Arabidopsis thaliana: one gene and its partners. The protein of the gene in region 2 binds, or shares a complex with, the protein of the main gene of each other region. Each region holds a gene or a part of one and is shown on either strand. Other genes may lie near its edges. The genes, in order: SHH1, AT3G27360, JMJ14 and AT5G46910. A codon is read from its position in the direction of its gene.

Evidence for each region.
Region 1: the proteins of AT3G27360 (region 2) and SHH1 are in contact, whole or in part, in a crystal structure (PDB 4IUR), measured with the Arabidopsis thaliana proteins. Residues at the interface, in NP_189372.1 of Arabidopsis thaliana: Thr4 (codon at 1,989), Lys5 (codon at 1,992), Gln6 (codon at 1,995), Thr7 (codon at 1,998), Ala8 (codon at 2,001), Arg9 (codon at 2,004), Lys10 (codon at 2,007), Ser11 (codon at 2,010); in NP_849666.2 of Arabidopsis thaliana: Glu130, Ser133, Arg135, Asp136, Tyr140, Asp141, Phe162, Phe165, His169, Arg182, Ser183, Pro185, Leu201, Phe203, Glu205, Arg206, Glu207, Asp208, Gln209, Ala210, Leu211, Tyr212, Glu250, Arg251.
Region 3: the proteins of AT3G27360 (region 2) and JMJ14 are in contact, whole or in part, in a crystal structure (PDB 5YKO), measured with the Arabidopsis thaliana proteins. Residues at the interface, in NP_189372.1 of Arabidopsis thaliana: Arg3 (codon at 1,986), Thr4 (codon at 1,989), Lys5 (codon at 1,992), Gln6 (codon at 1,995), Thr7 (codon at 1,998), Ala8 (codon at 2,001); in NP_193773.2 of Arabidopsis thaliana: Phe171 (codon at 3,086), Asp239 (codon at 3,419), Glu285 (codon at 3,557), Cys287 (codon at 3,563), Ile289 (codon at 3,569), Ser290 (codon at 3,572), Gly291 (codon at 3,575), Val292 (codon at 3,578), Trp296 (codon at 3,590), Tyr298 (codon at 3,596), His309 (codon at 3,889), Val310 (codon at 3,892), Glu311 (codon at 3,895), Asp312 (codon at 3,898), Ser317 (codon at 3,913), Gln361 (codon at 4,045), Leu362 (codon at 4,048), Val363 (codon at 4,199), Ala409 (codon at 4,337), Val410 (codon at 4,340), Asn411 (codon at 4,343), Ser436 (codon at 4,418), Leu437 (codon at 4,421), Ser438 (codon at 4,424), Glu516 (codon at 4,848).
Region 4: the proteins of AT3G27360 (region 2) and AT5G46910 are in contact, whole or in part, in a crystal structure (PDB 6IP4), measured with the Arabidopsis thaliana proteins. Residues at the interface, in NP_189372.1 of Arabidopsis thaliana: Ala26 (codon at 2,055), Arg27 (codon at 2,058), Lys28 (codon at 2,061), Ser29 (codon at 2,064), Ala30 (codon at 2,067), Pro31 (codon at 2,070), Ala32 (codon at 2,073); in NP_199502.2 of Arabidopsis thaliana: Arg161 (codon at 3,504), Val176 (codon at 3,549), Phe179 (codon at 3,558), Asp234 (codon at 3,802), Asp236 (codon at 3,808), Ser272 (codon at 4,050), Ile273 (codon at 4,053), Pro274 (codon at 4,056), Gly275 (codon at 4,150), Met280 (codon at 4,165), Tyr282 (codon at 4,171), Glu295 (codon at 4,210), Asp296 (codon at 4,213), Ser301 (codon at 4,228), Ala400 (codon at 4,722), Val401 (codon at 4,725), Asn402 (codon at 4,728), Leu427 (codon at 4,803).

The regions. Positions count from the first base shown.
Region 1 is NC_003070.9:5,236,054-5,240,215, reverse strand, and holds SHH1 (SAWADEE HOMEODOMAIN protein), read right to left. Parts: upstream 2,173-4,162; 5' UTR 2,121-2,172; coding exon 2,067-2,120; intron 1,988-2,066; coding exon 1,902-1,987; intron 1,743-1,901; coding exon 1,697-1,742; intron 1,608-1,696; coding exon 1,439-1,607; intron 1,362-1,438; coding exon 1,301-1,361; intron 1,035-1,300; coding exon 983-1,034; coding exon of another isoform or gene 959-982; intron 922-958; coding exon 778-921; intron 686-777; coding exon 503-685; downstream 1-502. Other genes in the region: ABCG35 (pleiotropic drug resistance 7), read left to right, coding at 3,643-4,162. UniProt on the Arabidopsis thaliana protein: Involved in RNA-directed DNA methylation (RdDM). Required for the silencing of some endogenous RdDM targets and accumulation of 24-nt siRNAs, but not for the production of Pol V-dependent transcripts.
Region 2 is NC_003074.8:10,128,596-10,131,848, reverse strand, and holds AT3G27360 (Histone superfamily protein), read left to right. Parts: upstream 1-1,911; 5' UTR 1,912-1,979; coding exon 1,980-2,390; 3' UTR 2,391-2,744; downstream 2,745-3,253. Other genes in the region: SDH2-1 (succinate dehydrogenase 2-1), read left to right, coding at 475-640. UniProt on the Arabidopsis thaliana protein: Core component of nucleosome. Nucleosomes wrap and compact DNA into chromatin, limiting DNA accessibility to the cellular machineries which require DNA as a template.
Region 3 is NC_003075.7:11,007,007-11,014,370, forward strand, and holds JMJ14 (JUMONJI 14), read left to right. Parts: upstream 1-1,551; 5' UTR 1,552-1,812; intron 1,813-1,950; 5' UTR 1,951-1,997; coding exon 1,998-2,039; intron 2,040-2,180; coding exon 2,181-2,252; intron 2,253-2,589; coding exon 2,590-2,667; intron 2,668-2,686; exon of another isoform or gene 2,687-2,746; coding exon of another isoform or gene 2,747-2,767; coding exon 2,768-3,274; intron 3,275-3,403; coding exon 3,404-3,628; intron 3,629-3,888; coding exon 3,889-4,050; intron 4,051-4,198; coding exon 4,199-4,567; intron 4,568-4,757; coding exon 4,758-5,574; intron 5,575-5,665; coding exon 5,666-5,769; intron 5,770-5,872; coding exon 5,873-6,070; intron 6,071-6,291; coding exon 6,292-6,582; 3' UTR 6,583-6,836; downstream 6,837-7,364. Other genes in the region: AT4G20390 (Uncharacterized protein family (UPF0497)), read left to right, coding at 62-273, 365-488, 606-863; GSNAP (gamma-soluble NSF attachment protein), read right to left, coding at 7,093-7,185, 7,348-7,364. UniProt on the Arabidopsis thaliana protein: Transcriptional repressor. Histone demethylase that demethylates 'Lys-4' (H3K4me) of histone H3 with a higher activity for H3K4me3 and H3K4me2 than H3K4me1. No activity on H3K9me3/2, H3K36me3/2 and H3K27me3/2.
Region 4 is NC_003076.8:19,044,735-19,051,883, forward strand, and holds AT5G46910 (Transcription factor jumonji (jmj) family protein / zinc finger (C5HC2 type) family protein), read left to right. Parts: upstream 1-1,604; 5' UTR 1,605-2,153; coding exon 2,154-2,156; exon of another isoform or gene 2,157-2,185; intron 2,186-2,805; coding exon 2,806-3,193; intron 3,194-3,414; coding exon 3,415-3,571; intron 3,572-3,650; coding exon 3,651-3,870; intron 3,871-4,004; coding exon 4,005-4,058; intron 4,059-4,149; coding exon 4,150-4,229; intron 4,230-4,334; coding exon 4,335-4,612; intron 4,613-4,704; coding exon 4,705-5,100; intron 5,101-5,184; coding exon 5,185-5,525; coding exon of another isoform or gene 5,526-5,549; exon of another isoform or gene 5,550-5,610; coding exon 5,611-5,844; intron 5,845-5,933; coding exon 5,934-6,146; 3' UTR 6,147-6,645; downstream 6,646-7,149. Other genes in the region: AT5G46915 (transcriptional factor B3 family protein), read right to left, coding at 6,834-7,100. UniProt on the Arabidopsis thaliana protein: Histone demethylase that demethylates 'Lys-27' (H3K27me) of histone H3 with a specific activity for H3K27me3 and involved in the regulation of gene expression. Acts as a temperature and photoperiod dependent flowering repressor.

The DNA of each region.
Region 1 (4,162 bases), on a different chromosome or scaffold from region 2:
TATATTACTTTCGGCACAAAGATTTATTTCTTTCCAAATAGTTTTTGTGCTAAATGAGCTTTTTTCCACATCTTTATCTTAATAAGCCGAAGCTCACAAAATGTATTGACCTGCGTATTGTATATACAAGAAGCAATGAGTAAACAGAAAGAAATAGTCTTGCTCACAAGAATGAGACTGTATGTTGAACATTACATAGGGTGTTAACTGGTTAAGCATTTGGGTATTATTACATTGTACCATCACCATTCCCTTTACAATTCTAAGCTTTTGCACTTTATTCCACATAGTTGACAGAAAAAAACTAACATAGAATCCTAGGGCCGGTAGGTACTTAGTAGTGGAAGTCTATACATGAGCATGTTATTCCATTTTTGGGTCAGTCATATACTATATAGTCATAGTTTACTGCATCTTCCAAATATGACTTCAAAACCAAAAAAAATTACTCTTCAGGGCGGCGGCAAATTCTTTCTAGTCCCAGCGATTCCTGAACATACACTTAACACAAAACTTCGTCAATAGTTCCCACACCCAACAAAAAGGCTGAGATCAATCTTCTTACCTCTGTATTGTCAAGCTCGTAGCGAACAAGAAACACGCAGTTACATCTCGCGTGATCATGAATCCCTCTCTTGATATTCAAAACATGACCATCACAGTAGAGTGCTTGATCCTCTCTTTCCTGCTCATTAACCACCCCAACTTTCATTTTTAAGTTCAAATTTCTTTTGTTAAATGTTCCATCCTTCATAATTAGATCAAAGTCAGCCTTACTTGGAAACATAGAAGCAGGTCTCCAACGTTCACTCTCCCACACTCTGATGGTTCTACAGGAATAGACCGCTCACGCACTGATGTTTTGACGTTTACCCACTCATCGTGTCGGTTGTCGAACCCAGAAAACCGTACACGCACTTCCTGTTGCAGACACTCTTAGTTGCAAACAAATCATCCATTAAACAAAAGAGAAAAAGCTTACCAGTTCACCAGTGCGAAGAACTCTATAAGTAAGGAACGAAGACACGTCATACCTGAAAGACCAGAATTCCAGCAAATAAGCACAGATATAAAACACAAACGTATATTACAAGTCCAAAAATTAGGCTTTATATGAATAACGTTCTTTCTTAAGTTCACACTGAATAGGTAAGGGCATTCCTCGTTGAGTTAACAATCAACAGAGAGTTCACATTTCAGGTTCTTACTTAGGCCACTTAACAAAGTCATATGCTAGCAGTAGTCCAAGAGTTAAAGCAAAAATAGAAACATGATATTCAATGCAAGGAAACGTTCTTACCACGCGTAGTCCCGCGCTGATTTAGCCTCAAAAGCCAGATCAGCTAAATCAGAGGCCTTGCCTGTGTATGAAAATGTTCATAGGCGTTATAAGGCGTTAACTAAAAGAATCAAATATGGCACACAAGAAAAGGAAAACCTTTTCGTGTTTGAACAAAGGTAGAATTCCCAACAAAGGTAGCATTTGAGGCATTTGAAGCATAAGAACTGGGATTAGATAAGTCATGAATCTGCAAAGGGGGAGATGGCAAAGTTTTGGATTTTGGTTGGCTTTGATGCTTCAGCTTCTCCTGGAACCAAATCTGTACCTGAAAACATTTTGATTCAAAAAAAAAAGTTATTTCTACTCTATTTGCATTTTTTACCAGTTAGCTCTATGAAGAAAAAAGAGACGCACCTGTTTCCAGGTTATAGAGGATTTGCCATTCCGATTCACAGAACAACTATAAGAGAAAATGGAAGAAGACATAAAGATTTTTTAGATACTGTGCATGAAAATCAATAATCCTACTATTCCTATAAATCCACAAAATGCTTGTGTCTCGATTCTCTAACAAACACATTCACATGATCAAATTCTCGTAAAATTCAGAATAAAGTACCTAAAAGTAGAGGCAACAGTTTGACAGAAATCTTTGTGGAGAGATTGGTCACCGAGCTCCTTATACAGATTCTCCATGTCTACAATCTTCGAATAAGAAGAGCAATAAGATCACAAAGCATGAATCTCTAATCTAAGAAAACGAATGATAGAAAGCATAGATAACCTCAGACAAGGTAAACTCGGTGAAATAGTGAGAGGAATCATCGGAAGCAGCCATTATCGAGCGCACAAGGAAGAAGAAGAAGAAGTGAAAAGGATCTTGAGCTAATTTGCTACTACACTGATGCCTTCAGAGTTCAGTGAGCTTTAGTGGGTTAATGGGCCTAAAATGGATAATAATAATATAAATGGGCTTAAACTCACTAATTTATTACCCATATGCTTGTTTTTTGGACCGTCTATTATTTTATTTTAACCACACTCATATAACTGTACTATTATTTAATATTTATAAATGACTTTGAAACAATCGAGACAGGATGAGGGAACCCGTCCGCGGGGAATCTTCCAAGTCATATGAGCTGGTGGTGCGTGGTGGAGTGTTTATTAATATTCATGATTACTGACATTATTAATCAAATACTATCATAGCATGTATAAGTATATAATTTAATCACAGCTAATCCTCACTAAGGCTCTACCTTCTTTTGTTGGCGACAACCCAGGCCCTTATTTCTCCAATACAAGATTCGTTACTAAACATATCAAATATACATTATTGTAATTAGTTAGTTAATTACACGTGCTTTAAAGCATTTTAAACGCACAAATTTGAAAATGATGGCAAAGGCCCTGATTGATTTTGACCGAGACACAAACACGCAAACATAGAAAATTTAATCAGGGATTTGTACTCGGTTACATAGCTGTCATTCTGTGTTACGTATTAATTACGGTATTTAACTAATCACGCACGCAGTAGATATACTATAACTTTACTTGATTAACAAAGCTAATAGCATCCATAAATTGGGGTCAAGATGTTTGAACTCATAACGAGTTACTTTGACATTTGTAGATTGTGTGTAGTTGGTACGAGGTCTACTAGTAAGTCATAACCAAATATAACTAATCGTAGTAGACTAATTCAATTTCTTACATAAGTCCCAAATTTTCTATACCTGTTCTGCACTAATCACTCCTCTCATTCTTATCACCATTGGTCCATTGCCATCTCTTGAATCCGTCAATCTTTTATTAATTTAAAAAGGCCACCTGCTCTATTGTTGACAATAGAAGGTGAGGAAAAACAAAACCAATCAAGCCAAAAAAAGACAACCTGTCTACATCATTAAGCACCAACCTTATACAAACGTATAAATCGAATTTTTAACTCGTGTATGATTGACTAGGCATCCTTCATTTTCCACATGGGCCATCCTGTTAAAAGATGTTTCATTATTGCATGGATTACTATAATAATCACAAGAATTTAAAAGGCACAATCAAGTGGTGCTTTTCTTTATAGTTTTCATTGGAGATTGTGATAAAATAACAGAGAGCACCAGAGGGGGAGCTTGCACTCGTCATTGTCCCTTACTCTTTTCTCTCTCAATGCTGCAGAGGCACTGACAAACACACCATCTTTGCTTATCTCTTTCTCTGTTTTCTTCAACGAAATTTACATATCATCCGTTTCTTCTACTCACATATGGATCCTATCAGTCTAATAGTCTAAAAGAAAGAAGAAGAAGCACTTAACTTAATAGAAACAGGATCAAGATTCATAAGATCTAAAGATGGATTACGATCCAGCTCATGCTATGAGCAGAGGTGGGAGTATGCGGCAAACCATAAGTCGTAGTGTAAGCAAAGCAAGCAGAAACATGGAAGACATATTCAATACAAGCTCTAGACGAACCAAATCTGTCAACGAAGACGAAGAAGCTCTCAAATGGGCTTCCATCGAGAAACTCCCTACCTACAACCGTCTCCGCACAAGTCTCATGCCTGAATTAGGCGAAGACGACGTCTACGGTAACCAAATCCTCAACAAAGCAGTTGACGTCACGAAGCTTGACGGCGAAGAACGTCAGAAGTTCATCGACATGGTCTTCAAAGTCGCAGAGCAGGACAACGAACGGATCTTGACAAAGCTAAGAAACAGAATCGACAGAGTTGGGATCCAACTTCCGACAGTAGAAGTGAGGTACGACCACTTGACTGTGAAAGCTGACTGTTACACCGGTGATAGATCTCTTCCTTCGCTTCTTAACGCGGTGAGAAACATGGGAGAAGCTGCTCTAGGCATGATCGGAA
Region 2 (3,253 bases):
CAAGTCTATTTTGCTGTCTTGGTAAGTGAAAAAAAGATTGTTTGAAGGATTGGTATGTTGAAAATGGATATAGAAGTTGGCTTTTTGGGGAATTGAATTCCAATTGTAGGACTAGGAAACGATTTATCTTGTAGTCTGATTTTGGAGTTTGCATGGATGGTTGGGAAGATTTTGTATATCTTGTTGTTTAGCTGCATTGATTCTCATTCAAGTCTATTTTGATGGAAAGTGGTTGCAAATTGTAGAACTAGGAACCCTTCACTCTTGGAATTTGCTTTCAGAATTTGCATGGATGGTTGGGAAGATTCTCATATATTGTTGTTAGCTGCATTGATTTCACTTATGTGGTTCTTCACTACTGTATTACTGTCTGAATTGTTGTTTTGGTTTAGGAAGCTGATCTATATATGGGGCATTCAATAGAAATTTGACCTTTCGATGTGTTTGTAACAAGAGACTTGTTGGTATGTGTAGGTGGATAAGCGACAGTCGTGATGAGTACACTAAGGAAAGACTTGAGGCTATTGACGACGAGTTCAAGCTTTACCGTTGCCATACAATCTTGAATTGTGCTCGTGCCTGTCCAAAGGGTTTGAACCCAGGAAAACAGATTACTCACATCAAGCAACTTCAGCGTTGAAACAGCTAAGTTTGTGTGCGGGATCCGTTGGGAAACTCATCAGTCTTAACGTTTGAAGCTAATAATCTTCACAAAACCTCTTCGGATTTTCAATTCATTCTTGTATTGTTGTTGCCAAATATTAGCGCCTTAAAAAAACTCGTTTGCAAGTCTTCCCAAGTAGATGAGCTTTGTGGTTGTATCTTGCTGAAAATCTCCTCTTTAAGTAATAAAACTCGAGTAAACTTAAACCTCATCTACTTATCATCTACTCTTTTGTGTTCCCTCTGCATTGGCCTATGATAAAATCATTTCATGTACTTGTGTCTCTGCCTTCTGTACACATGAACACAACGTGATGTATTATCAATCATAGCTTAATCATAGAAAAGTATCAATCATAACTTCCTTGACATTTATGATTGACTGCGTAAGTATAACTGCAAGTACTGATCACACAACAAACAAGAAAGATGACACCGGCAACACTAGCTATATTCTTTGTCTCTTTGGTTACTATTGGAACAGCAACCGATGTTGCTCCAGCAACTAAACAACAGTTTGAGTTCTTTCCGAGCTTGCGGGAGCATCAGAAGTCTCTATTTGTTACTGTGGAAGGTACCATAGCTTCGAATACTAGTTCTAGAAAGTAAAAACAACGATAATGTTTTTTAACTGTGGAAGGTACCATTGCTTTTTGTTGTTGTTCTTCACGTGCAGGCTGCAACAACCATTGCCTAACAGCTTGCTGTGACTGCAACATAGAAAAACAGCCTCCCGTTTGTGTTCAGTGTTGCCCGATTTGAGCCTTGAACTCCTTATGTTCATGTATGTTTGAAGACTAGAGACAATGTAGAAGATTTAAAACACAATTCAGGATGTCAAACTTGTGAAACAGAGGAAGCTTATGTGATATTTTATAAGTAAAAAAAACAGATATCACAAATAGAGAGAGATCAGAGTTTGTATTGTAAAAGCCTACAAATTTTCGCAATCTGTTGATGGAATAAATTCATTGAACAGATCGTAATATCAAAGATGAAAACACTTCTGTCTCACTCAGAGTCTTTGGATCACAAACACCGTTACACATCGCAATAATTAACACGTCATCATAAATATCCCACGTGTAGAATCCTCGACAACTGAAAGAATCACTCTGATTGGTTACTTAACATACGACGCAGATAGCAAAGATAAAAACAATCTTGACCGTTTAGAGGAAAACACATCTAACGGACCAAATTCTCTCTTCTTTGAGTATAAAAAAGCATCCCAACCTCACTCTGTATATACCAATCAAACACGACAGTCTCAACAATCAAAAGCTTCAAATTTTTCATTGTCAAGAATTCTCAAAATGGCTAGAACAAAGCAAACAGCTAGAAAATCCACCGGAGGAAAAGCTCCTAGAAAGCAACTGGCGACGAAAGCAGCAAGGAAATCAGCTCCAGCCACCGGAGGAGTGAAGAAGCCACACAGATTCCGTCCAGGAACAGTAGCGTTACGTGAAATCAGAAAGTATCAAAAAAGCACAGAGCTTTTGATCCGTAAGCTTCCTTTCCAGAGATTGGTTCGTGAGATAGCTCAAGATTTCAAGACGGATCTTAGGTTTCAGAGTAGTGCAGTCGCAGCTCTTCAAGAAGCAGCTGAAGCTTATTTGGTTGGATTGTTTGAAGATACTAATCTTTGTGCTATTCATGCTAAGAGGGTTACGATTATGCCTAAGGATATTCAACTTGCGAGGAGGATTAGAGGTGAGAGGGCTTAAGATTTGAAGAAGATGAAGAAGAAAAACAATGGTCTAGTGTAGATTTGCTTGTTTGCTCTCATAAGATTTGTAGATTCATGTTTTAGATTTGGTTTTGAGTTTTCTTAGTCTTTTGTTCTGAAGTGTCTTCCAGATGTTCGATGAAATGCCCAAATGAAAATTTAATCTACTTTTGCAACTTTCTAAGAATCAGTCTTCAGTTTAACTTATTAGATTTGCAATTGAAGTTGTCATTTTGGTTGTAACTTATTTGTATATTGTTACATCTGTATTCAGGTCTTAGTGACTTGTGTCAAAATGGTTCTAATTTATTGACCAAAGCAGGGTTAATCATTTTATTTTCCTGCAGCATAATCTTCTCTCTGTTATCAAAGTCCTCTTTCAGTGGTGAGAATTATGTGTTATTTTATCGATTAATTCATCACAATAAGTTTAAGAAATTACCAATGTACTGTTGGTCAGTGGTAAATTTTTTAGGTGGAGGTGCTGAGTTCGAGGTGGAAGGTATCTCTTTTCCAAAAGAGTTGAATTTAACCTGATGTAGAGAAGATATATGATTTTTAGATTTGAACTTTCAGATATTAAAAAAAAAAAAGGTTTAAGAAATTGAATCAAAGTTTTTTTAAATTGTGAGTACTAAGTATAAACAATAATGTAACCTCAAATTCTAAATTCATATATGTTCTGTTTTTTTTTTCTTTTCTGTAATGGCAAAGATAAAGAAGTCTTCAATTATTTAAGACCTGCACGTTATCTATAACAACAACTCATTGACTTAACCCACAAACTACTCTTGTTGTTGGATGTTACGTTTTGACTCCATTAAAGCTCTTCTTGGCTTATATATCATTCAAGCTAACTTC
Region 3 (7,364 bases), on a different chromosome or scaffold from region 2:
ATACTCTTTAACACTGACACAAAGTTTCATCACTTTCTCTTGATCACTCACTGCATCAACAATGGCCAGAGAGAAGATTGTGGTGGCTGGTGGTACCACAAAGAGCTGGAAACTACTCTTGGGGCTGAGAATATTTGCATTCATGGCTACTTTAGCTGCAGCCATTGTAATGTCACTAAACAAAGAGACAAAGACCTTGGTTGTGGCCACCATTGGTACTGTTCCTATTAAAGCCACTTTAACCGCTAAGTTTCAGCACACACCGGCTTTTGTGTAAGCGAGTAAAACCCTATACGAAATCGATTCGATACATATTGAAAGCAAAATGTTTTTGAGTTATTAACATTGATTCTTGGTTTTACAGGTTCTTTGTTATAGCTAATGTAATGGTGAGCTTCCACAACTTGTTGATGATTGTGGTTCAGATTTTCAGCCGGAAACTGGAGTACAAAGGTCTTCGTCTCCTCTCTATCGCCATTCTTGACATGGTATAAACATTGGTTTTCAAATCAATTTACTGGTTTGATTTCAATTGAATTAGTTTGAACGTTTGGAAAAAAAGCTAAACGGTTTCTTGATAATCTAAAAAAACGTTGGAAAAAAAGCTAAACGCAACACTAGTATCTGCGGCTGCAAACGCGGCGGTGTTCGTGGCAGAGCTAGGGAAGAACGGAAACAAGCACGCCAAGTGGAACAAAGTCTGCGACAGGTTCACCACTTACTGTGATCACGGCGCAGGAGCAATCATCGCAGCATTCGCCGGAGTCATTCTAATGCTCCTCGTGTCCGCCGTCTCTATTTCCCGCCTCTTAATCAATTCTAAAAACTTCTCCACCACCGCCACCACAACCTCCGTCGTCTAAAACATCGTGGCCAAAAATTCAGCAACATGTGTGTGACCATTTTATAGATGTTGTGGCTTACTTTGTGTGTTTGTCTCTCAAGTCACTAGCAAATTGTGTAATGCACTCCTTTGTTCTATCACTTTCACATTTGTATTCAAGTTTTCATTTCTCTCTTATCTTTTTATATAATTCTAAAATGACAAAAAAAAATTCACAAAGTATATAGTACATTGAAACAATGAGAAAAATCTACAATAGATGATTAGATAAGACCAATTCAAGATAATTTATACCTTTTATTTCTCAACTACTTCTTCTATTTATGGAAATATAATTCTAATCAATTGTTAGTTTTTTACATTAAAATGAATTATATCAACCGACTAAAAAACAAATCAGTATTAGTTCTATCGCATTGTAGTTCCCATACAACTTAATTTTTGTGTTGTAAATAATGATCCTACTGTCTCTAATAAATGTGAATCAATAATCATAACTATTGAAATCCTTTTCTTTTTGGTTAGTAAAAATGAAGTGTAAATAGTATAACTGTTTAATTTAGTTCAGATATACAAATCAACAAAACTACTTAATTTGAAGATTAATTCAGTTTTTTTTTTTTTTTAATTTTCTGTTTATAAAACTACTGAATTTTATTTGGTATAAATGGATTGAAGATTTTATTACAAAACAAAATCACATTTGGCGGCTTCTTCTTTTTATGTTCTAAACCCTTTTCTTAGATCGGACTCCAAGAAATCTACTTGCTTTAATCGTTAACCTAATAAATTCTTCTCTAAGTTTTTTTTTTCTTAACTCATCAAAGAAGGAAAGAAAAAAAAAAACCTCTTTCACAGATATTTAACCAAAAGGTTTTAGATTTATACTATACGTTACAAATAAAATTCGAGAGTCAAATTCAATCTTGGGAAAAGCTTTTGTTCCGAATCTTGGCCCCTTCACGAAGGTACACTTATCATCTCACTCTCTATTTCCAGACACAAATCTATATGCGTTCTGGGTTTTTTTAGGGTTTCGAAAACGGCACTGCATTTCATCAAGTAAGGGTTTGTTTTTTATTTAACAGATCTTTGTTCTTCCTTAGGTCACGGGTTAAAAGTATCGATCTTTGTGAACTTAATCTCACTGTAAATGGATCAGCTTGCATCTCTAGCAGAGTCTGTGGCTATGGAGGTTTCTCATCTTTATCCTTTTGCTTCTTTGATTTGTGTTTTTTGCTTTCTCCTCCATTTGTAACCTCTAATTTGCATGTTTGCTAGATTCAATTAGCACTGTTGCAGTTTCTGAATGTGGAATTGTGTTTATTTCTTGCAGGAAGATTCTGAGAAACAATCGATTAAAGGAGAGAGTAGTCTTGAACCTGACTCTACTCCTTCTAGTCCTAAAGTAAGTTAATTGGGTTTCTAGCAAAGTATTGGTTGGGTAAAGAGGTTGATGGCTTATCTATGTGCTAAACCCGTTTGAGTCTGAAAATCCAATCAATTCTAGTTTTAATTAAGTTCGTGGCTTTTGCTTATCAGTATCTTCCTTCAAAGATCTCATCTTTCTGAGAGTCGTTCTTATTGTATTTGTTTTAGATTAAGCAAAATCTATTTACTTGGGTCTTAAGAATTTAGCAATCTCATCTGGATCTTATTAGATTGTTTGTTGTGTTAGCTATCTGATTGTCCAAGAGCAGATGAATCTGATTCATGAATGATATCGTTTTGTTGCGTATTTGAAGATAACTGCTAGGTGGAATCCATCAGAAGCTTGCAGGCCTTTGGTTGATGACGCTCCCATCTTTTATCCCACTAATGAGGTATTTAAAATACTCGAGTTGCAATTTTGGTTCTGTCTTGGTAGTTAAATTGTTATCTTATCTGAAAATTTTGATCCTTATGATACTGCTTCATGGTCAGGATTTTGATGATCCACTTGGTTACATAGAGAAGTTGCGCTCTAAAGCAGAATCATATGGCATATGTCGAATTGTGCCGCCTGTTGCATGGAGGCCCCCTTGCCCTCTGAAGGAGAAAAAAATATGGGAGAATTCTAAATTTCCCACCCGGATTCAGTTCATTGACTTGCTTCAAAACCGAGAACCGATTAAAAAATCTACTAAAACCAAGAAGAGAAAACGGAGAAGAATCTCTAAAATTGGATACACAAGAAGAAAAAGAGATTCAGGCTGTGATACGGCTTCCTCTGGCTCTAGTGATAGTGAAGGAAAATTTGGTTTTCAGACTGGGCCAGATTTTACCCTGGAAGAATTTCAGAAGTATGATGAATACTTTAAGGAATGCTATTTTCAGTCAGAGGATCATCCTGGTTCCAAAGCGTCTGAAAATAAGAAATTTAAACCTAAGGTTAAGGACCTTGAAGGTGAATATTGGCGGATAGTGGAGCAGGCAACTGATGAAGTAGAGGTATGTACATGCAGCAATATAATGACATATCAACTATTTGTGTCTTTCTTGGTTTCACCATTTTCTTTTGCATTTATTTGAATTTGATGTTCTTCGAACTTGCTACTCTTGTTTTTGGTCCTATGACAGGTGTACTATGGAGCTGACTTGGAAACAAAGAAATTTGGAAGTGGTTTCCCAAAGTATAAACCGGGGTATCCTATAAGTGAAGCAGATCAATACTCTCAATGTGGTTGGAACCTAAATAATTTGTCCCGTCTGCCCGGATCAGTTCTAGCTTTTGAGAGCTGCGATATCTCAGGAGTCATTGTGCCATGGCTTTATGTTGGAATGTGCTTTTCAACTTTTTGTTGGGTAAGTTTCATTTTCTTAGGGTAGACTCTTGCTAATTACTGAATCGCATGAATAATCTTTTGATATTTCCTGGAAATTATATGTTGCTGAAAAAAAGCTGATGGAGTTCTATTAAAACCTGTTATTGAATCAAAATTTTATTACTTAAAGGATGTCATGCCTTTGGGACCAAAGTTATGGAATTGATGCATTTTTTGTGTGCTTTCTAGGAGCTATGTACTAACCATCTGCTATTTACCCCCTTACTTTGTTTGAAACAGCATGTTGAAGATCATCACCTTTATTCCATGAACTACTTACACACAGGTGATCCAAAAGTTTGGTATGGGATCCCTGGAAACCATGCTGAGTCTTTTGAAAATGTAATGAAAAAGCGTCTTCCAGATTTGTTTGAAGAACAGCCTGACTTGCTACATCAACTGGTGAAAGTTTCTCCCAATTCGTTTTTCATTTCAAGCTCTGCTGATTAATTAGAACTCCTTACGTGTGTAATTTTGGAGATGATATGGCGAGAGCTGTCTTTTGGTTAAGATAATATGTATCTCACTCTGCACCTCCTATTGTTATCAGGTCACTCAGTTATCTCCAAGAATCTTAAAAGAGGAGGGAGTACCTGTCTATCGAGCTGTCCAGCGCAGTGGAGAATTCATTCTAACCTTCCCTAAGGCCTATCATTCTGGGTTTAATTGTGGTTTCAACTGTGCGGAAGCAGTAAATGTTGCACCAGTTGATTGGCTGGTTCATGGACAGAATGCAGTGGAAGGCTATAGCAAGCAGCGGCGAAAGAGTTCATTGTCACATGACAAGCTGCTTCTTGGAGCTGCTATGGAAGCTACTTATTGCCTCTGGGAGCTTTCACTTTCAAAGAAGAAGACTCCTGTGATTGCGAGATGGAAAAGGGTTTGTAGTGAGGATGGATTGCTTACGAAGGCAGTCAAGGTAATTTTGGTTCTCTGTTCTTTTTTCTGTGTGCATGCATGTACAATACACACTCAAAAAAGCATAGGCTATATGTTACATTTCATAGATTGACAACTATCCTCTGAAGTAATAGTGTACTAGTCTACCTGATTTTTGATAAGATTGAAACAAACATCTTCAATGGCACTAACATAGCTGTGGTTAGCAGAAGCGTGTGCAGATGGAAGAAGAAAGACTAAATCACCTTCAAGATGGTTTTAGCTTGCGAAAGATGGAGGGTGATTTCGACAATAAGAGAGAACGGGAGTGCTTCTTGTGCTTCTATGATTTGCATATGTCTGCTTCAAGCTGCAAGTGTTCCCCCAACCGGTTTGCATGTCTTATCCACGCTAAGGATCTGTGTTCATGTGAAAGTAAGGATAGATATATCCTAATTCGCCACACCTTGGATGAGTTATGGGCACTGGTCAGAGCTCTAGAAGGGGATCTTGATGCCATAGACCTATGGGCAAGTAAATGTCGTGACCAGTATCCTTCACAGCATCCAAGAGCAAGAGAATATGCTTACCTCAAGTCTGCCCCATGTATAAAGAGCCGTGGTTCATCAAAAGTACAGCAGCGAGAACAAAACAATCTTCAGTTAGTGTCTGAACGCTTACAAAGTGATCTAACCTCAAACAAGGAAGTTCAGTTGAAACAAGATGGTGATTCAGATGTAAATCGCCATGGTCATGAAAGCGAAAGAAATCATGTACATGGGATCACTGATAAGTCAGCTGTCACGGATGTAAAACTTGGTGTGGGAGGTAAGTTTGATGAGAAGAAGATTTCGGTTGAATCTCAAAACCCACATTCAGTTTCAGATGTAGGGTGTAGCGAGCTGGCGAAGAAAGTGGATGGTTGTTTAGGAGGGAAGGACCAAAATGCTGCAACCAATAGGTTAAGTCTCTCTGTTGAGCTTTTGAGTTCTGGATCTCTCGTTGTTAAAAAGCTGTGGTGCAGTAAACAGGCCATATACCCAAAAGGTGATGAATTGAGAATTTTGGATGAGCTTTATACTTTAGTATTTTATTTTTTATGTCTTCTGAGACTTTTGCTTTTGATTGTATGTTACAGGGTTCAAGAGCCGTGTTAAGTTCTTAAGTGTGCTTGACCCAACAAACCTAACCAACTACATCTCAGAGGTTCTGGATGCAGGGCTTCTTGGTCCATTGTTCAGGGTACACTAACTACGTAGTGGTTTCGAGAATATAACTGAATATCTATTTATCATGCAGAACACATGAAGGTGGTAAGTTACTGATCAATCAGTATTATTTCCAGGTCTCAGTAGAAGATTACCCCACTGAGAATTTCTCGAATGTATCTGCTGAAAAGTGCTGGCAAATGGTGACACAAAGGCTCAAACTCGAAATCATCAAGAAATGTGATCAACCAGTTAGCTCTTTGACCTCTTTACAACCTTTGGAGAGTATAAATGGGCTTGAAATGTTTGGATTTCTCTCCCCGCACGTAATTAAGGTGACAATCAATTTCTCATGCATAGCCATAAAACTATGATATCCTGAATCTTCTTGCGGTGGAAAGTTTTTTTTTTTTTTTTTTTCTTCTACTTTGCTGGATGAGAGAAGCTCCCATCTTCTGTTTCAGTCCCCTTGAGCATCTCTCTTACTCGCCTACATGACCAAATTTCCATATGTACTTTTTAGCGTTTTGGACTGAAAGTTGACCATTGTGCACAGGTGGTTGAGGCTCTTGATCCAAAGCATCAATTGGAGGAGTATTGGAACCAAAAAGCAGTGAAACTGTTTGGTGCTGAACCAATAAAGGAAGGAGAAAAGGATGATACAGAGAAAGGAGGGGCTTCAGATCCCTCTTTGGACCGGGACACAAGGCTTCTGCGTGGACTGTTGAAGAAGGCGACACCTGAAGAATTAGTAATGATGCATGGACTTCTGTGTGGTGAGACTCGCAACACCGAGCTCAAGGAAGAGCTCTCTACTTTGGTTGATAAGATGGAGATAAGTCCTTAAGGAGGAGCAAGCAGATAAACACACTAACACCCTTTGAAGTTGATTGTGTTTGTTGTTCCTTTGGTTATAAACTGTATCAGTAGAGAAATCTAGAGAGGCAATACAAAAGTAGACAAAAGGGTTACTTCGTTGACATGTCTTTCCTTTTTACCAAAAAAGGGTTTAGGATTAATGATTGTATTATACTGTGTTGCATTTGCAATGTACCATTGTTCTCTATATTTCATTTGCTTATTTGTAACAGCTTTTATGATTAGTAGACGATTTCAAACAACAACCAGATCCAAAATTGAACCAACCTGTATGAGCTGTTGTAACAAGATAAAATAACATACTTTAGAGTTTTAGCTGCTCGTGTTTTAAGAAAAATACATGCATAAATTCGAATTTAGAGCCTATATAATCAATCTTTCCCACAGTACTTGGGACAAACGATAATATGTTTTTTTTGAATCTTTGGACTGAAAAGAAGCCAAGTGTAAATATGAATATGTACAAAGAGGAGAAACTTTAAGTGAGATCATCCTCGTCTAGATCGTCATTAGTGTTCATCTGAATTGCAGTAACATCTCCAGTGGGTAGCTTCCTAGCCAACTTGATAATCTGCAGACAAAATACTTATCCGTATAAGATTCCAGTAGTTTAATGAAACATTCTGTGATCATATGGTGTCACAATAACCAGCATAATGCAGAACAAATACATTCGGAAACACAGAAAGACATAATTAGGATTAGGATTCGACAGATCATTTAAGTGAATTACCATATGATCCAAATTCG
Region 4 (7,149 bases), on a different chromosome or scaffold from region 2:
AATAATCTATATGGCATATAAAAATATTTTAGGAAAATAGTATGATAGTATAGACGTGTGATCTCTAAAACAAAAGTGGGATAATTAACAAAGACTTAGAAGAGAGTGACATACATTTTTATTTTTCAACATTCAAATCTATGATCTTTTCTTTTAAAAAGGGAATAGGAGATTTAAGAAAATATAGAAAGAAGGTCATAAAAGAAAATTAAAATATAACTAAATTATAGTAAAATGGACGTATCTGTTAGAAAAATAGACAAAATAGTCTTTCATATAATGTCAAATGGAAGTTATGAACCAATGGTTTATATAAGAAGAGGGATATAAATGACACAGAAATAATAAACTAGTAAAAGAATGGTTTGGACATTATTGGATATGAACAAGAAGAACAAATAAACTAAGAGAAAATAGGCAAAAAAAAAACATCGAATTTTTTGTCTGTCATTCAAATAGGTTTAACTACGACAACAAGTGAATATTTTTTGGGTGGGTCTAGTCGAATATTCTAACCACTACATAGATTGGGAAAGCTAAACTAAGAAGCCTAAGACCAAGCAGAACCGGTTACAGAGTAGCTAAACCGCAAGGACTGAAACCGGTTAATGAAGCCGAGCCACATTGGTATGGTACAGCTTTCGTTTTCGCTGACTTCACAAAACTAATCATTATACCTAACTCATCACAGTTTATTTATTTATAAGAAAAGAGAAACCGAAATTAAGAATGGACCAATGGATTTCTGTTGGGATAATGGCTTTAACCGGGAACCGGAAAACCCGGTGAGCTCACCACCACCCACAGTAACAGTAACCAAGAAAAACAATTGTCTTCCCAATGCACCTGCCACGTGTATAGAGACAGTACAGAAGTGTCACCACGTTTCGACTTTCTGTTGTTTAAATGACTTGAATACCCTCCGTTATGACACTATTTTACTGTTTGAAGGAAACGCAAGATTGATGAAACGGCGTTTTAATGGGTTGGCAGCGTTTGGTTGAACCACCTAACAACCACCACTTTCCTTCACACTTATAGTTCCTTTTTTTTTATTTTTTTATTTTATTTTCTGTTGGGAATCTATTTTTTCTTTATTTTTTTATTAAGCATTTGGTCTTAAACAATTATAAAAATAAAGCTGATTGGTACAAGTATTAAAAAGGAAAAAAGGCTGACTGATAATGGAGTTGATTAGCTACAGCTATAGATTAATAATAGCTGAAACCTTTTATTTAATATTTGTTTACTGGAAAATAGTGGTTGTAAATTTCAAACAAATAAAATGTACATCTTTTTAAATTTAGAACAAATATAACAAAAGTAAACATTAGTTTGTTAGAAATTTTTAAAAATATAAAAATATTTAATTTTTGATTAGACTATTCACTTTTTCTTTAAATAAGATATATTTTAATATGATTGGATTATACTTTGCTTAAAATCTTGGGATGTTTATGAAATGACTTAAAAATTCTTAAAATAGATCATGACCGCACCAATCGCAGCAAAACGGTAGGAGCGTTCATTAGACACCTAATTGGCTAATTGATATGGCTTGTGAAGAATTTGGGAACCTTCCCGATATTCACCAATATTTAATTATAATTTGTTGTTTTCTTTAGAATTTTAATTAGGAACGGCTTTTGTGTTAAAATTACGGTGGCCACTAAAGCATACACGTTTTGGAGTATAAAACTATAAATTATACATTCATAACAATTTTTTCCGGTTTTCCAAGTTTCTTCCTCTCTCGGTCCTCTTTTAGCATCTCTACAGTTTCTCTCTCCTCTACCGCCGGAAAAAAAAAACGATTTCTCCGGCCGGTTTTGGTTTCTCCGTTCCGTTAATAGCCTTCGTTTTCTCGTCCTTGGAATCGTCCTCTGGTTGATTTCTGAATGTTCGTTTGACTCGGCTACGCGGCGATTCGGATCTCCGTGTTTGACTCGGTCCCTGGCTCGTTACGCGGCGTTTTCGTAGAATGTGGTTTACTTTGTTTGCATGCCAGGCTTTGTATTGAATTCGTGGGGCGAGATCGTGATCTAGGGTTTCGTCTCTGTTCTTTTGGTTCGTTGCTTGTTGTGGTCGCTTTTTGTTTCTTAATCCGGCTGAAGAAAACGAAAGTCTACAGAGATAATAGATTACGGAATGATATGGTGAGATGATTTCCCCTCTCTGATTTTAGTCAATTTTGTTGTTTAACGATTTTGGAATTCTCGTGAATTTTTGTTGTTAACGATTTTGTTGGATCAGATCTCTAACATTGCTCGATTTTTTTAGAGTTTCTGCTATTTTTTTTCTTGAATTGGTTACTCTTTTTTTTACTCTGCTTCGTTGTTTGATCCTTCTCTATGGAGAATCTCACGTTTTGTTGCTATTTTTGTGAACTTGAGATTTGAGCTCTGTTGAAATGGCGGCGAATCTTCACGTAGGTCAAATGATTGTGTGTATGAGAGGAAGTTGTCGATGGTTTCTAAGTTGTGACTCGCGTTCTTCGAGGGTGTTGAAATTAGAAATTGTCACATTCTTTGACTTTGTAGGGTATTGGTCAAAGAGATAAGGCTGTACCAGGAAGTGAAAATGCTTATATACCTTTTGAAACTTCTAGGTGTTGACTGTTTCCGTTTTCTGTGTTCACTTTTTATGTTTCTTAGCTTTTTGTGGAGTTATAATATTTTGGAGCTATAGTGGGTTAAGTGTGAATGGTTGACCTATTGTGTATCTATGACTCCTGTATATGGTATTTGTAGTATGAACTTTTGATATGTATCTAGAGGAATGTTTGCTGACACTTGGTTTTGTCAGGCGGAAAGGAGGATCTGCTTGTCTAAAGAGGCTAAGGATGGGTTAGAATTTCTGAAACGTAAAAAGCTTCAAAAAATGAGATCAGACTCTGTCAATGAAACAGTAGGCTTCAGCACAATGGCTAGAAGTGGTGGTGATGCTTTGAGACCAACTTCAGCGTCATGTGGAATGAGATTACGGGTAACTTCTAGTGATACAGTATCTAAAGTGCATGGTGCATCTACTGTGAGAGGTGGCTTGATGAAGGAAAAAGTGGAGAAGCTTGAGACAGATGATCTAAAATGGACCGAGAGGCTTCCAGAATGTCCTGTCTACAGACCAACAAAGGAGGAGTTTGAGGATCCTCTGACTTATTTGCAGAAGATTTTCCCAGAAGCTTCAAAATATGGTAAAACAAAAATCTCAATATGCAAGTAGTAGAATTGTGCTTCTTAATTTTCATGGCTTCATAAGTTTGTTGAAGCCATTGATTGGTGTTGTCTATAAAATGGAAAGAAAAATGTGATGTAGGCAATATAGAAGACTTGTATCCTTTCATAGACATTTAACTGTAATTAATCTCATTATGTATTTCTATCCAATCTCATATTCTGCCTCTGTCGTTTGTAGGTATTTGCAAGATTGTATCTCCTTTGACAGCAACAGTTCCTGCTGGCGCTGTGTTGATGAAAGAGAAATCAAACTTTAAGTTCACTACCAGAGTACAACCCCTTCGACTTGCTGAGTGGGATTCTGATGATAAAGTTACATTCTTCATGAGTGGGAGGTTTGTTATTAAACCTATTACCATTTAGCTCTACATCTTCACTTTATAGTTTGTATTTAATTATTTGTAAACTACTCAGGACCTATACATTTCGCGACTATGAGAAAATGGCGAACAAGGTATTTGCACGCAGATATTGCAGTGGTGGCTCTTTGCCCGACTCATTCTTGGAGAAAGAATTCTGGAAGGAAATTGCGTGTGGCAAGACTGAAACAGTTGAGTATGCGTGTGATGTAGATGGTAGCGCATTTTCATCTGCACCAGGTGACCCACTAGGAAGCAGCAAATGGAACTTGAATGTATTGATTTACTACAACTTAAGCTTCTCCCTTTTCTATTCTTTTTTGGTTAAGCATTAAAGATATCATATGCTTGCATATGCATCGTTATTTACATTTGGTAGTTATATGGCTTTTTATATCTCTACTTTCAGAAAGTTTCAAGGCTTCCTAAGTCTACCCTGCGCCTTCTTGAAACATCCATTCCGGTATGTGAGAAGTAGTACAGTTATATTTAGTCACAAGATCACTTTAGAGGTTTCTGCTAATTCTCTTCTAACTTGGATTTGCTTGTTTCAGGGAGTCACAGAACCCATGCTTTACATCGGAATGCTTTTCAGTATGTTTGCCTGGCATGTTGAGGACCATTATTTGTACAGGTAACAAGAGTTTAACGAATTTTGGTTAAAAGTATATGGGTTACTAAATGTGGCAATCCAAAGAATGTTAATCTCCTTTTTTTCTGACCTTCTTTCCCAACACAGCATTAATTACCAACATTGTGGAGCATCAAAAACTTGGTATGGGATTCCAGGTTCCGCAGCTCTAAAATTTGAAAAGGTGGTTAAAGAGTGTGTGTACAATGATGATATTCTATCAACTAATGGAGAAGATGGTGCCTTTGACGTGCTTCTGGGGAAGACAACTATATTCCCCCCAAAGACTCTGTTGGATCATAATGTGCCAGTGTATAAAGCTGTGCAAAAACCTGGAGAATTTGTTGTCACATTCCCCAGGGCTTATCATGCTGGTTTCAGCCACGGTAAAACAAAATTGTCTGAATCTACTTTTTTTTGTTGGTCAGAGATGTGGTATCATCTTCAACTGAAATTGTGGTTGTGTGAAAAATTGTAGGTTTTAATTGTGGTGAGGCAGTGAACTTTGCGATGGGTGATTGGTTTCCATTTGGAGCTATTGCCAGTTGCCGGTATGCTCATCTTAACCGAGTACCGTTGCTTCCTCATGAAGAATTGATTTGTAAAGAGGCAATGCTCTTGAACTCAAGTTCCAAATCCGAGAATCTGGATCTTACACCTACAGAATTGTCAGGACAACGAAGCATCAAGACTGCATTTGTACACCTGATTCGTTTTCTTCATCTTGCTCGATGGTCTCTAATGAAGTCAGGATTATGCACAGGCCTTGTTTCGAATACATATGGAACCATAGTCTGCAGTTTGTGTAAACGGGATTGCTATTTGGCATTTATCAACTGCGAGTGTTACTCACACCCCGTTTGTCTACGTCATGGTAAATTTTTTTCTCTGTCATCTCTATCCATACACATCCTTCATTATTGTTTTCTAATTGATGGTGCTACCGTGTATTATCTAGATGTTAAAAAGCTTGACCTTCCATGTGGGACAACGCATACTCTTTACTTGAGAGACAACATTGAAGACATGGAAGCTGCTGCAATGAAGTTTGAGAAGGAAGATGGAGTTTCAGATTTGATTACAACTGATGAAGATTTATATAAGTATCCATCATCGATTACACTTCCAGCTGCGAAAGAAGACGGATATACACCGTATTCCACTATATACTTTGATTTCTATACTGAGGTAGAGATGACATCTCATGACCAGTTGCAATCGGGAAATCCCGTCATGAGTTATGAGGCAAACGCTTCATGTATCTCCTCAGTTGCTGATGATTATGAATGCTCTGATTACGTAAGTTTTACCACGAATCTGTGACAAACTTTATCTGACCGTCTCTTTCTTCAAATATCTGATTTCTGTTTTCTTCTAAAAGCAGGTAAATAGACGAGCTAACTGTAGCAGCAGTAGTGATTCAAAGCTCTCGGAAGAAGTAGCATGCAGCAGTAGCAAAAAAACTCGGTTCTTCCCTGTGGTTCAAGATGAACAACTAGTTGCGGATCAGGAAAGTGATGGATCTGATTCCGAGTGTTTTAGAGTCAAACGCCGTTCTTCATTGAAGTTTGAGAACCGAACAGTTGTTCTAGACACAAGAGAGTCTGACCATCATCAGGTACTGAAAGCCATATACTTATAAATATTAACTCTCTATTAAACAGTGTTCATAGACTGTAAAACCCTGAGATTTTTCGTGTTTATTAGGAACTTAAGAGACTGAAGAAATCGCATCATCACGAAGGAAGATATAGTAGTAGCAGTAGTGTTAGTAGGCAAGAAGAAGAAGAAGATGAGTTAGTAATTTCAAACAGGAAAGAAACTCAGCAACAAAGTGACGTGAAGATGCAGAAGAAGAGGATCGAGAATCATTTTGGTGGCTTTAAACGTCTGAAAGTGAAAGGGCTAATAAAGCCGTAACGTGACAGCTTCAAGTTTCCTCCTAACTACAATTCTTTTAAATTGGCTGATCTCTAACAATACAGGAAAAGCAAAAAAAAAAAGGAATCAAAAGCAAAAAAAAATATTCAGTATCTGATTTTATTGTCATTATTTTTTTTAATCATGGGAGAAAGAAGAAGAAGAAGCAACAGACAAAAGAAGGAAAAAAGCATTTAACCAGCCAAGCCAACCAACCAACCAACCAACCAACACTATTGGTTTCTTTTTAGGATTTACCAAATCTTTGATTCTTTGTGCACATCTGTACACACCTTTTTTAATCTCTTCTTGTTCCTTCTTCTTTTCTTACGATGTAAATCTCTTTTTTCTCCTTTAAGTGGTATTTGTTGTTGTTCATGATTATGCATAGAAATCCCAATTCTCTCTTTAAAAAGATTATGAACAACTTCCACCTACTAGAACCGGAGGAACACAATTTTCTTTCCTTGCATACAAAACTTACAGATAAAGCCATCATGTTAGTACACGTTCGAAAGTTTCTTCTCATGCCAATAAAAGTTACCATTAGGTTAATAATAATCGGTCCCAACTCCCAACATATTAAGCTACAGAGACACATTCGACAGACAAGAAGCAAAGTACAGATGCCAACTTAAACCAAACTAAAGTCTTAAGACAACATGAATAAATAGAAAGATCTTTTCCTCAGTAATTTCTTCTCACCCTCACATCCATCATCATTAGGGTTTGGAGACAACTAGAAGTAGCTCCTCCGGTTTGATGAATGTAAACTTGCAGGTATATATCCCCAACAACAAGGGGATACTCTTTAACCAAACATTGCCATCCACCAGAGAAAGCTCCATAACTCCCCAGATACACCACATTCCAAAATTTCTTCCCATTTGGATGATGGACTTTGAATATTGTTTTCTCAACCGGCATTTGATCCTTAACAGAACTTCGGATCCTCTACACACTCAAAAAAAGTTTGATTCACATATCAGTTTTTTTTATAAAA